Linked DNA regions of Xenopus tropicalis. The protein of the gene in region 2 binds, or shares a complex with, the protein of the main gene of each other region. Links are inferred from orthologs where the notes say so. Each region holds a gene or a part of one and is shown on either strand. Other genes may lie near its edges.

Region 1 (6,210 bases), about 25 Mb from region 2:
CTTGTTTGCTTTACCTTGTAAGCTCAGGAATTTGATCAGTTCCAGGTCACCTGCTACTTTGTTATTGTTGTGCTGTTCACTCACCAGTCACCAGTCGGTATATTTCACATGCTAGGAAATAAAAGATCCTTTTACACAAGTTCAGGAACTCATAATTAAGGTTTTTGACAGATTTGATAAAAGTAAAGGAAAAGCTTCATGGGTTATTTTACCCTGGCTGAAACATGCCGGCTGAGAATACTTCCTGCCATAGTGCTAATGGCAATGGTGCAGAAGGATATTTTTCCTAGCCCAAGCCTGCAAAAGAAATACCTAAGAGCAGAGCAAAGGTAATATTCCCAGGTTAGCCAATAAAAAGTATCACCTTCTTTATAATATTTCAGTGTTATCTTGAATTAAAGAATCTGCGGTAATACCTGTATGTTTAAATCAATCACTGTTTCATAGTTTATTAAAATGCAGCAGGAATGTTGGCCTTTCCACAAGCCATTCCTATTGTTGCCGGTGGAAAGGCATTTCAGAGCAGTTAAGTCATCCCCGGTAGCAGAGATTTATCCCGGGCGACTACATCACTCCATAGAACATTAGCCTTATATTTACAGAAAACAGCAGACCTAAAGGACCCTAGGCAAGCACCAAGTCATGACCATTGGGTGGTAATAGTATGAGTGAGATGACAAAAATGTGGAATGATTAGCAGACCACCTAAGTGCACAGCTTTTGTTGTATTATCTCTTTAGTTTTAGCGATATGGTTCATTTAAAAACTGTAATGCAGATTGGCATTCTCTGTATTTCCTATGATATTTAGCACTCTCACCGGCAAGTAAAATCTGAGGAATGGCTAAAGGACCTTGGTTTTGTATACTGTAAAGAATTAATCCTGCAAATAGAAAACACAAATGTCCTATCCTACTTTCAAGACTGTATAATCAATTTGCAAGTAGAACAAAGAGTTTTAAAGCCAAGGAATTTGGGTCAGGAGAAATAAAACCTATATTAGTTTGTGCATGTGTGCATGAAAAATTATGGCATTCACTTATTGCTGTGCTAGTGGCCGGCCTTTTCTCAGCCAGCAGAGAAGTGCCAAAATCCTTGAAAGGATCCTGGGCTATTTCATCCAAATTAATGTTTCCATTAATATTAATTACATGCTTCTCATCTGGTTTAGGTGTTTCACAGCCAGCTGAAAATACTATGTAAAATGAAATATCCAGGATTGGATCATTATCTTATCTTATAACCTGAGGTCAGTTGGCATCTCTGCAGAACAATGTTCCCTATAAGCAGTGCGCTCACACACAACAATTTTGTATTTATTTTTACCTGAGCAGTTTTTAAAAACGTGCACACAAGTTTAAAATGTATGCACACAAGTTTTTTGCACACAAAGCCAAAAAGTAATGAGGGAACGTTGCAGCAGGTCTATTTCATAGCCCTTAATTGCTTGTTAGGGCAGGGTTGGACTGGGGCGGCCGGGGGCCCAATGGGACTGCCACCTGGGGACCCTCCATCCCAGTTGCGACATCAAACCCCGTCCCCCTACTGCATTTTCTCCTTACAACTGTGATAAAAGGACTGTGGGCCAGCACCTAGTTATAGGAGGGAGCAAAACTGGGTCAGGACAGCCTACAAGGGCCAGGGCCCTGCCGATCCAGTCCATACTCGGTTTGAGGGCTGCCAATGGCCTATTGTTGAGTGGTGTAACTACTACCCCATGGGCATGGTTGCAAACTTTGCACCAAGGTCCCTCTCAAGACATGAGCTGCCGTGCATACTAAACATATCATTAAAGGAACAGTAACATCAAAATATGAAAGTGTATTAAAGTAATTACAATATAATGCACTGTTACCCTGCACTGGTATAACTGGTGTGTTTGCCTCAGAAAGACTATTATAGTTTATATAAGCAAAGCTGCTGTGTAGCCATTCGAATGAAAAAAGGCACAGGTTACTTAGCAGATAACAGATCAAATGCCATTGTATTCTACACAGTTTGTTATCTGCTATGTAACCTGTGCCTTTTCTCCTTTTTTCCAGCTTGAATGGCTGCCCCCGGGGCTACACAGCAGCTTATTTATATAAACTATAGGAGCGTTCTGTAGCAAATACACCAGTTTTACCAGTGCAGGGCAACAGTACATTACATTTTAATTACTTTAAAACACTTTCATATTTTGGTGTTACTGTTCCTTTAAACGTTAATGTCCACTGTGGGTTTCGGGTTCCAAAATATTAAAAGGCCGGTATTTTTTTTTCTAGAAAAAGTGGCAACCCTTGGCTGATCTTTAGTATTTCCGCACTAATAAAAATACTAAGTAAAACTATTTTACGAAGCCGCTACTTTAGTCAGCGTACAACCAAACTACGCCCGCAGGCAGCTATAAGTTGTGCGCTGAAACGCCGCGCATGCGCTTTATGCAGTTCCCTTGACGCCTGCGCTTCGTGTACTACGTAGTTGGCACATGCGCTGTTCGGTGGGCCCGGTGTTGGAACGGAGGCAGGATGATCATGGCGTTAAGTAAAACGTTTGGCCAAAAGCCAGTGAAATTTCAATTGGAAGAGGATGGAGAATACTACATGATAGGATCCGAGGTACGAGTCCAGGGCAAACGTTAAACATCTCCGCTGAAGCTGCGTAATACAAACGTGGGGGAGAAAGGGGTTTGGGACAAAGGATTCCTTCTTTGTTACAGGCACTGTTGTGGGCGAGACCAAGGTTTCTGTAAATCTTCATGCGTGTAAAAGAAAAAAACCAAAACAATAACAAAAGGGGGGCGGGTTATTAGTTAGATAAAAAAGAGTGGTATATCCAACCGGCGGGCCCTTGTTTCACTACAGCTCTCATCACTCCCAGAATGAAGGAAGTGCTAGTAGTTTTAAAGCAGCTAGACCTACAAGTTGAACGCACTGGTGAAGGGAGAGGTGGCCAATGGGGGATGAATTTGAAAGTGCAGCTGACTGGTTAGAAGTGCAGCAACAGAAAGCATGAGGTAAACAAAACATCTGTAATAGAAATAGGCTGCAACTCCTACCTTTCCCCTAAATCCTCCTTTCTGGAGGCCTGCTGTGTTGTGTAGCGCCTCATTGTATGCTGTCACTTCAAGGTGTACACATTATATTTGGGTCTGTGACCAAATTTTGCAGCCTGAAAACGTATTATTGTTTTGACTCTTAAATACTTTGTCTTTTATTTACAGGTGGGAAATTACTTGCGCATGTTCAGGGGATCATTATATAAACGGTACCCTTCCCTTTGGAGACGGTTGGCAACAGTAGAAGAGAGGAAGAAAATAGTAGCGTCTTCTCATGGAAAGAAATGTAAATATTAGTAGTTTTTTTTACCTGGTTTGTCTGGTGAAAGAACAGCTTGGATTAAGTTGAATGCACCAGTTGTCTATGGCAGCCCTGGGATTTCCGAATTTTTACCTGTACTATCTGGATTTGCAAGTCTACTATCTCCAATGGTGCTTTGTTCTAGAACCTTATAACCCAAATACTTGCTTCCGTGGGATATTTCTGGCCTCTGTGGAACACATTACATTACATTAACATTTATTTATAAAGTGCCAACATATTCCTCAGCGCTGTACAATAAGTGGGTTACATACATTGGACATAAAGAGTAACATATAAAGCAATCAGTAACCGATACAAGAGGTGAAGAGGGCCCTGCCCAAAAGAGCTTACAATCTACAAGCACCTGCATAGCTTTCACTACCGACTCCAAGGATGCCCCGCAACTGCAAATACCCTCTCTACCTTAAATTACTGGGCCATCCCCCACCACTATTATTCCCCGGCTACCATTGTGGGGAAACATATATTTGATATCTCCAGGATTTTTTCCTGGAATCATCACAGGCTCAAATACCTAGGTGGCCACATTATAAATACCATCTATTCAACATATATTTTACAACAAAAATATCAACTACCTCATTTGCCCTTCTACAGATTCTTTTAGTTGCGACGTGCTTTCAATTTACAACTTTTAACCTATACCTCAGACCTTGTACATCTAGTATTGAGAACATAACTCGGATAGGTCCAGGCTGGTTTCATCTGGTGGGATGTGCCAGCTGGACACATCCTGTTCTGTTGCACAATGGTCTGTTGAAACCCACCCCAACCTGTCATGCATGCTCAGACAGTTGGGCTGAAGGGTCCAGATCTGCCAACCAAAGCTGGCCATGCTAGGACAGCTTTACAGAATTCAAAATTCACAAAAATGTAAACCATTTCAGATTGTCTAAGAATACCTAATCTAAGCTATTTTCAACCAGCTTTTGGCAATTAACATTGTTTCTACTATAATTTTAAGATGACCTCCCTTAGTTTGCCACATTCATAATTTCTTGTTTTAATGTAACCGAACTACTTTAAGTATAAAGTTTTTAAACCTTTTACATATTGCTGTTTTCTTCCTCCTTAGATCATGGATATACCACTTTAGCTACCAGTGTTACTCTCTTAAAAGCTTCAGAAGTTGAAGAGATCCTTGATGGGAATGATGAGAAATATAAAGCAGTCTCTATTAGCACAGAACCACCAACCTACCTCAGGTGAGTGAGGCACACATTTGAGGTTTTTAGTCATATGAAACATTTGGGAACCCCTCTCAGCCTGCATAATAGTTTACTCCACTTTTAACAAAAAAGATAACAGTGGTATGTCTTTCATTTCCTAGGAACATCTGAGTACTGGGGTGTAATCTGAACAAAGATTTTTAGTGAAGCAGTATTTAGTTGTATGAAATTAAATCATGCACTGGCTGTGCAAAAATTTGGGTACCCTTGTAATTTTGCTAATTTGAATGCATGTAACTGCTCAATACTTATTACTGGCAACACCAAATCGGTTAGCTCGTTAAGCCTTGAACTTCATAGGCAGGTGTGTCCAATCATGAGAAAAGGTATTTAAGGTGGCCAATTGCAAGTTGTGCTTCTGTTAGAGTCTCCTCTGAAGAGTGACAGTGTGGTTTAGGGAAAGGCTACAGAAAGCCATCTCAGAGGTTTAAACTGTCAGTTTCAACTGAAAGGAATGTAATCAGGAAATGGAAGGCCACAGGCACAGTTGCTGTAAAACCCAGATCTGGCAGGCCAAGAAGAATACAGGAGTGGCATATGCAGAGGCTTGGGAGAATGGTAACAGACAACCCAAAGATCACCTCCAAAGACCTGCAAGAACATCTTGCTGTAGATGGTGAATCTGTACATCGTTATACAATTCATACATCTGTATGGCAGGGTGATGAGAAAGAAGCCCTTTCTGCACTCATGCCAAAAACAGTCACTTGTTGTATGCAAAAGCTCATTTAGACAAGTCACAGTCATTTTGGAACAAAATGCTTTGGACTGATGAGACAAAAATTATTTGGTCATAACAAAAAGAACACTGTCAAATTTGGTGGAGGTTCCATCATGCTGTGGGGCTGTGTGGCTAGTTCAGCGACTGGGGCCCTTGTTACAGTCAAGGGTCAGATGAATTCATCCCAATAACAACAAATTCTTCAGGATAATGTTCAAACATCATTCACAAAGTTGATATTCCAACAAGACAATGACCCTAAACACAGTTGGAAATCTACAAAGGCATTTATTCCATATTATGGAATGGCCGTCACAGTCCCCCGACTTGAATATCATTGAAAATCTATGGGATGATTTGAAGCAGGCTGTCCATGCTCGGCAGCCATTAAATTTAAAGGAACAGTAACACAAAAAAATTAAAGTGTGTAAAAATAATTCATATATTATATACTATTGCTCTGCACTGGTAAAAGTTGTGTATTTTCTTCATAAATACTACTGCAGTTATTTAAATACCCTGCTGTGTAGCTATGGGGGCAGCCATTTAAATTGAAAAAAGGAGAAAAGGCACAGGTTACATAGCAGATAACATATAAGTAGCATAGATTCCCATTGTATTCTACACAGTTTATCTGGTATCTTCTTATGTAACCTGAGCCTTTTCTTTCAATTTAAATGGCTGCCCCCATGGCTACACAGCAGCTATTTCTATTAACTATAGTGGTCTTTCTGAAGCAAACACGCAACTTTTACAAGTGCAGGGCAACAGTACATTATATTTTAATTATTTTAAAACATTTTTATTTTTTAGTGTTACTGTTCCTTTAACTGAGGAGAGATTTTGTATGGACAAAGGTAAAAAAAATACCACTATCCAGAATCCAGACACTCATCAAA
Region 2 (5,599 bases):
AAAAGCAAACTAACTAAACAGTTATGTCCGATATGGCCCCCCTCAAGTCACCGATTGGTTACTGAATGCTAACAGCTTAGAGAGCTGTAAAGGAGGAAGTAAAGTCCTAGCTATTACATTAGACATATGTTCACTCCAGCCTTTATAGAGTACATTTTTGGCTAACTAAACTGTTCCAATAATACCGAAGGAAAAATCAAAGCAACTAAGTTAAGACTTTAGAAATAACTGTGGACATCGACAAGTCTGGTTCCTGTTTAAGAACAACTTCTAAAAAGATGAAGGTCCCACAAAAATCTATACAAAAAAATTATACTTTCATATAAAACCCTGGGACCACACAGACATGCATTGTTAAATTAACACCCTAAAATTGTCTTGGGTGCCTATATTGCAAATATTGTTCAATTCTATTCATATTCCATTCTGACTAAAATTCCAAGCCCAAGGGATGCATAATAAAAAAAAATGAAACAAAAATGAAGACATCGGGGCGTGTTTACTAAGACTGGAAATAAATATCATTGGTGATGTTGCCTGTAGCAACCAATTACCGTATATACTCGAGTATAAGCCGATCCGAATATAAGCCGAGGTACCTAATTTTACCTAAGAAAACTGGAAAAACTTATTGACTCAAGTATAAGCCTAGGGCGGGAAATGCAGCAGCTACTGCTAAGTTTTAATAATCAAAATAAATACCAATAAAATGACATTAATTGAGGCATCAGTTGGGTATATGTTCTTCAATATTTATTTCAAAGAAAAACAGTAAACTAGCTCTGTAAGCAGAGAAGAGGGTCAACAAAAACAATATGAGTACTACCCCATGCTCATTGCACATTGGCAAACTGGCAGCAGACCTGGTCCCGGAGGAGATGTAAGGGGAAATAAGTATTGCTAGTGGGAGCCTAGGCCAGGGCACTGGAGGGTCTGGTTGCAGGTGGCCTAATTTGCACACAAAGGACAGAGGGTGCTAGTCTAGAGGGACCCATGGCACCTGACTCGAGTATAAGCCGAGGGTGACTTTTTCAGCACATTTTGGGTGCTGAAAAACTAGGCTTATACTCGAGTATATACAGTAGGTCTTTGCTTTTGATTCTTAACTTGTAGGTGACTGTTTAAATGTTATTGCTGATTGGTTGCTATGGGCAACATCATCTTAGTAAACAAACTAATTGCCTTAAAGATTTGCTGTCTAACTTACAGATGATTTAATGCACTTTAACTGTAGTTGCATCCTATTGCTACAAGTGACACTAAAGCTTTCATTCACCAGACAGAGCATAATATTAACTGTAAAAGTTTTTTACTGATGGAAGTAAGACATTACCCTTTCTCCTGTCATTGCAAATGGAGCATTAAACCACTGCTCAAAGGTGCTGCAACTCTTAAAGATAGTAGGCAGTAGAAAGTTCAGAAGAGCCCAGAGCTCTGGCAGCTTGTTCTGCAGAGGAGTGCCAGTCAGTAGAATACGTCTTGGGGCAACATAGTGAGTGTTCAACACCTGTGTTAGTTTGCAGTGATGGTTCTTCATTCGATGCCCTTCATCAACAATCATATATTTCCATCGGATCTGTTGATGGGTAAATGAAAACAGTGTACACATAAGTGCAACAGACAAGAATCAGTGACTATTAGAAATATCACAGATATTGTATAATGATACATACACATACCGTACTACTCTATATTTCAACCTCCCACTTGCTGCTGTACTCATATGTTGTTAATTCTAAGCCAGTAACACAGCTTTTTTTGTATGTTCATAGCAGAATGCAAATTGAAGAGGATGGGTGTTTGTCTTTTTATACCAAGTTATATTTGTGTCTTATATGTTTTTTTAATATGCTGTAAGCATAACATTAATGCAAGCTAAATTAAGAGGAAAGGACATAAAGCAATAAGAATCATAGTTTGCAGGCTGTAAAAAGGCATTCATTCAAGAGACTAAAACACCAAACCCATCAGCTGGTTGCAGAACCATTCTATTGCATGGCGAACACAGACTACAATAAGGTGGCCATACATGGGCAGACAATCTATGTATGGGACCCTCAGAGGAGCCTATATTGAAGGACTGATATCTGACCAATTACTGTCGACTCACTAATGCGGTCCTCGTCCCAATGGCCTGTATCCTGTCAATGTGATACGATCATTTAGTCCTTGAGGTTGGCATATCAAGGTAAGAGCTGCTTATTTGCCAACCTTGCCAAACAAGCAGATCTATCAATGTATGGCCACACACAATGTATTACACAAGCAAAGCTCCATTCAACATTTTTGTAATTCACCTTATAATCCAGCTGTCCTCAAGTAGTTTATAAAACATGCTTTGGCTGAAAATCTTTGTTAGTTACTTGGAACTGACATTGATGTCAATCTTCTGTGGCAACCATGTATGTGATGTTTGCTAAATCAACTTAAAGTAATGTTTCAAAAGTCAATGGGACTTTAAAGGCAGACTAGAAGCCTTTATTGCAGCAATTTTAGGTTGCTGTCTGGCTCGCGCATAGTCTCTAATCACCTGATATGTACTCGAGCCAGGATTGTTTTTAAATACTGGCCTGTTAAAGGCACTGAAGTTTATGCTTGGGCACTTGTGTTTTTGGTGGAGTCTCTTTTAAATATCAGAATGAACAGCAAAAACTTGAGAAAATAAATGAGAAAAAAAGAATGCCACAAAAAGGCCACTTACCTTTGCCAGTATGTGCTTGTCTTTTATAATATATTCGTAAGTGGTTAGCAGAACATTAAACTTCCCAGTTCTTAGCTGAGGAACTAAAGAACGTCTCATTGCTGGTGTTCCCTGAAACAGAAGGAAATGTGCCAAGTTTAAAGACACTGAATGACTGTGATAAGAAATTATTCTTAAGAATACCAGTCCATTTTCATCTTACAAGGTATTTGCATGCTACTCGCTACAAGAGTAACTTTTCAATTTTCCATGTTAAATGAGAAAAGCGGACGTTTACAAAATGCAGGACAAGCTACAACACTAATTTAAACACCTAAAGATATGAGTGTACCTCGTGAATACAATGCATCCATGAAGGGTAAGAGGCACGTATGCCCCACTCCTGCCCCGACTCACTTATCAATCTGATGCTCAACTTAGGCAGTGCCACAACAGAGAACTATACCGTCTCCCCTATGGTAAGCAGTAAGGCCTATGCCGCATGAGGAATTTATCTGCTTGCTGAGAATCAGCAAGTGTGGCATAGGCCTAAGAACAGGGCTGTGCTCTGCACTAATTTCCAATCTGGTAGGTACAGGGCCAGTCAAGGCTGGATGCGCTAACACTTGAGTCAGGGATCAAGTTAAATGACCCCTAATATTTTCCTGGGTTTCCTACACTACATACACTTAGCATTCTACTTGAATCGTGTAATCCTCTGGTGCTCTGCTTTCAGAAAACGCAGAATTTAGATTAGGTTTGGTGTTTTTTAGGCTTATACAAATTGGGATTTGCAAGGTTGTCCTATGAATCAGCAGAGAGAGATAAATCAAGCCTGAAGTTTGTTAGAACTTAAATAGTTCCGTATAAAACACAACAGTCTTTTTTGTAATTAAAACTTGACCCATTTTTTTGGTGTTTTTTTGTGTTGAGTTTCACTTTAAAAAATATAATTTTCCAGTATAAATGACTTTATTATTTAAAAATGTCAATGGTCAGAGTTATTTGCAAATGTAGCTGTAGTTGAAAGCAACATTTTTCTATCCCTTTCTATTCTCTGCACTGTTGGTTGTGACTCATGAAACAAGATTCAATTATTCAAATTATTCGCTAACTGCTTTTTCTGTATTGTCAGAAGTAGTAGTGCATAAACGGACAAATACTATTTTCAATACAAAAAACACTGAAAATAATTCAGCAGAATGGGAAGTTCAGGAGTCAGGGATTTATGCCTCCAAAATGTAACTCATATTAAATTCAAGTTAAATTCAAGGTCAACTCCTTGATGCAAATAACTAGGCTAAGTGCTTCTTTACATTGCAAGACACTCATTTGAAAGATAAATAGCTCAATTAGAACAAGCAACTCTGTTATGTGTCTGGTTGTTAGAAACAGGTGCGCTCTTTCAATCAGTCAGCCATGCCCACAAAATCACATGCAGTAAGAACTATTATTGCTCTCGTTCTAGATATTGGATATGATAATTAACCATTTTGTGCAGCATTTTTCCATCTGAAAGTAATTATCCCATATTGCAGTGATGTCTTTAGGATGATTACCTTGCACTAGGACGCATGTGGCAATTTAAGCAGTTTAACATAATTCTATGCAAAGATGGGGTGAACATAATAAAATATACACACACACACACACACATATATCTTTAGTAAAGGAATAATTTCACGATCATTAATAATAGAGTGAAACTGCAAACCTTGTATGCGATTTTCACAACTGATGGGGCCCATTTATCAAATTCATATAGCCAGTTGGACAAAGTCCTAGAGGAAAGAATATTGATTTAAATAAATAAACAGTATATCAAGTCATTAAAATATAACATGGACATTTTTTAAAATAATTTTGTATATACTGTATTTTTGTTTTGTAGACAAGTGCCAGCTTGATCTGAAAACATCTTCTTGATATTTTCTAATCTTCTAGACATCTGCTAATTATTCAGCACTACACAGTTAACTGCTTATGGGATCAGGTATGGGATCTATTATCTAGAAACCCATTATCCTAAAAACTCAGAAATACAGAAATTGTGATTTCTATAGTGTCTCTCTTTTATCATTTCTTTATTCTATGTAGTAAGAAAACAGTAACTTGTACTAGCACATATGTGTACGGCACATGTAGGTGCAATAGTAGGTGAAAAGTTTATGTATCTGCGTGGGCCCTTCCGATTTTGCTTATTGACAGTTTGTAGAGGCCAAAAATCTTGCAACTGAACATTTCTGACATAATTGTTACTTCCTCTGCTTTTAAATTATTTGTATCTGATCAGACCCATTTTAATACTGATAAAAAAAAATGTTGGAAATGTAGTTGAAATACTCTCCCTGACAATCTCTACAGGGCCTCTGATATAATCAGAATGTTAAGCCAAAAAGATGACACCCAACATGTGTTTGTGTGCACATTATAACTTTATTCTATTTTTTCAGGTAAGGAACCAAAAGACAACATTTCTGTACTTACGAAAGAGGAACTATAATAAGGTATGGCCCATTAAGCCTTTTGTGCTCCATCAGATAGGTTATGAGTGCAATAGTTTGAATGGTCTTTCCGAGCCCCATTTCATCTGCCAGGATTCCATTTAAATTGTTGTTGAACAAGGAAACCATCCATTCCAAACCCTGAATCTGAAATATAAAACAGCGGTTTCTAGCTGAAAGAAAATCAGCAAAAGCTTGTTGAACTTTTGAAGATTCTGACTGTTTAACCATTAAGTGTCTATATATTACATTTTAGTGCAGAAAATAATTGTCTGAACCCATTCATCTGTATTCTACTATACACATTGGGGGCAAAGATTTGCATGGGTGATAGTGCTCAGCACTGCTCCTGAGCAGCACTAAGAACTACCACCCCACAGAGCAGAACTGGGTTTGCCTGCTAAAAGCATTTCAA

The links.
Region 1: smarca2 (region 2) and smarcb1 share a complex: the UniProt entries of both Homo sapiens proteins name them as parts of the BAF complex. The link is inferred for Xenopus tropicalis from reciprocal best matches to the Homo sapiens genes SMARCA2 and SMARCB1.

The regions. Positions count from the first base shown.
Region 1 is NC_030677.2:153,167,372-153,173,581, reverse strand, and holds the start of smarcb1 (SWI/SNF-related matrix-associated actin-dependent regulator of chromatin subfamily B member 1), read left to right. Parts: upstream 1-2,504; 5' UTR 2,505-2,506; coding exon 2,507-2,596; intron 2,597-3,201; coding exon 3,202-3,322; intron 3,323-4,436; coding exon 4,437-4,566; intron 4,567-6,210.
Region 2 is NC_030677.2:128,239,971-128,245,569, forward strand, and holds part of smarca2 (probable global transcription activator SNF2L2), read right to left. Parts: intron 5,332-5,599; coding exon 5,168-5,331; intron 4,462-5,167; coding exon 4,395-4,461; intron 2,813-4,394; coding exon 2,702-2,812; intron 1,577-2,701; coding exon 1,334-1,576; intron 1-1,333. UniProt on the Homo sapiens protein: ATPase involved in transcriptional activation and repression of select genes by chromatin remodeling (alteration of DNA-nucleosome topology).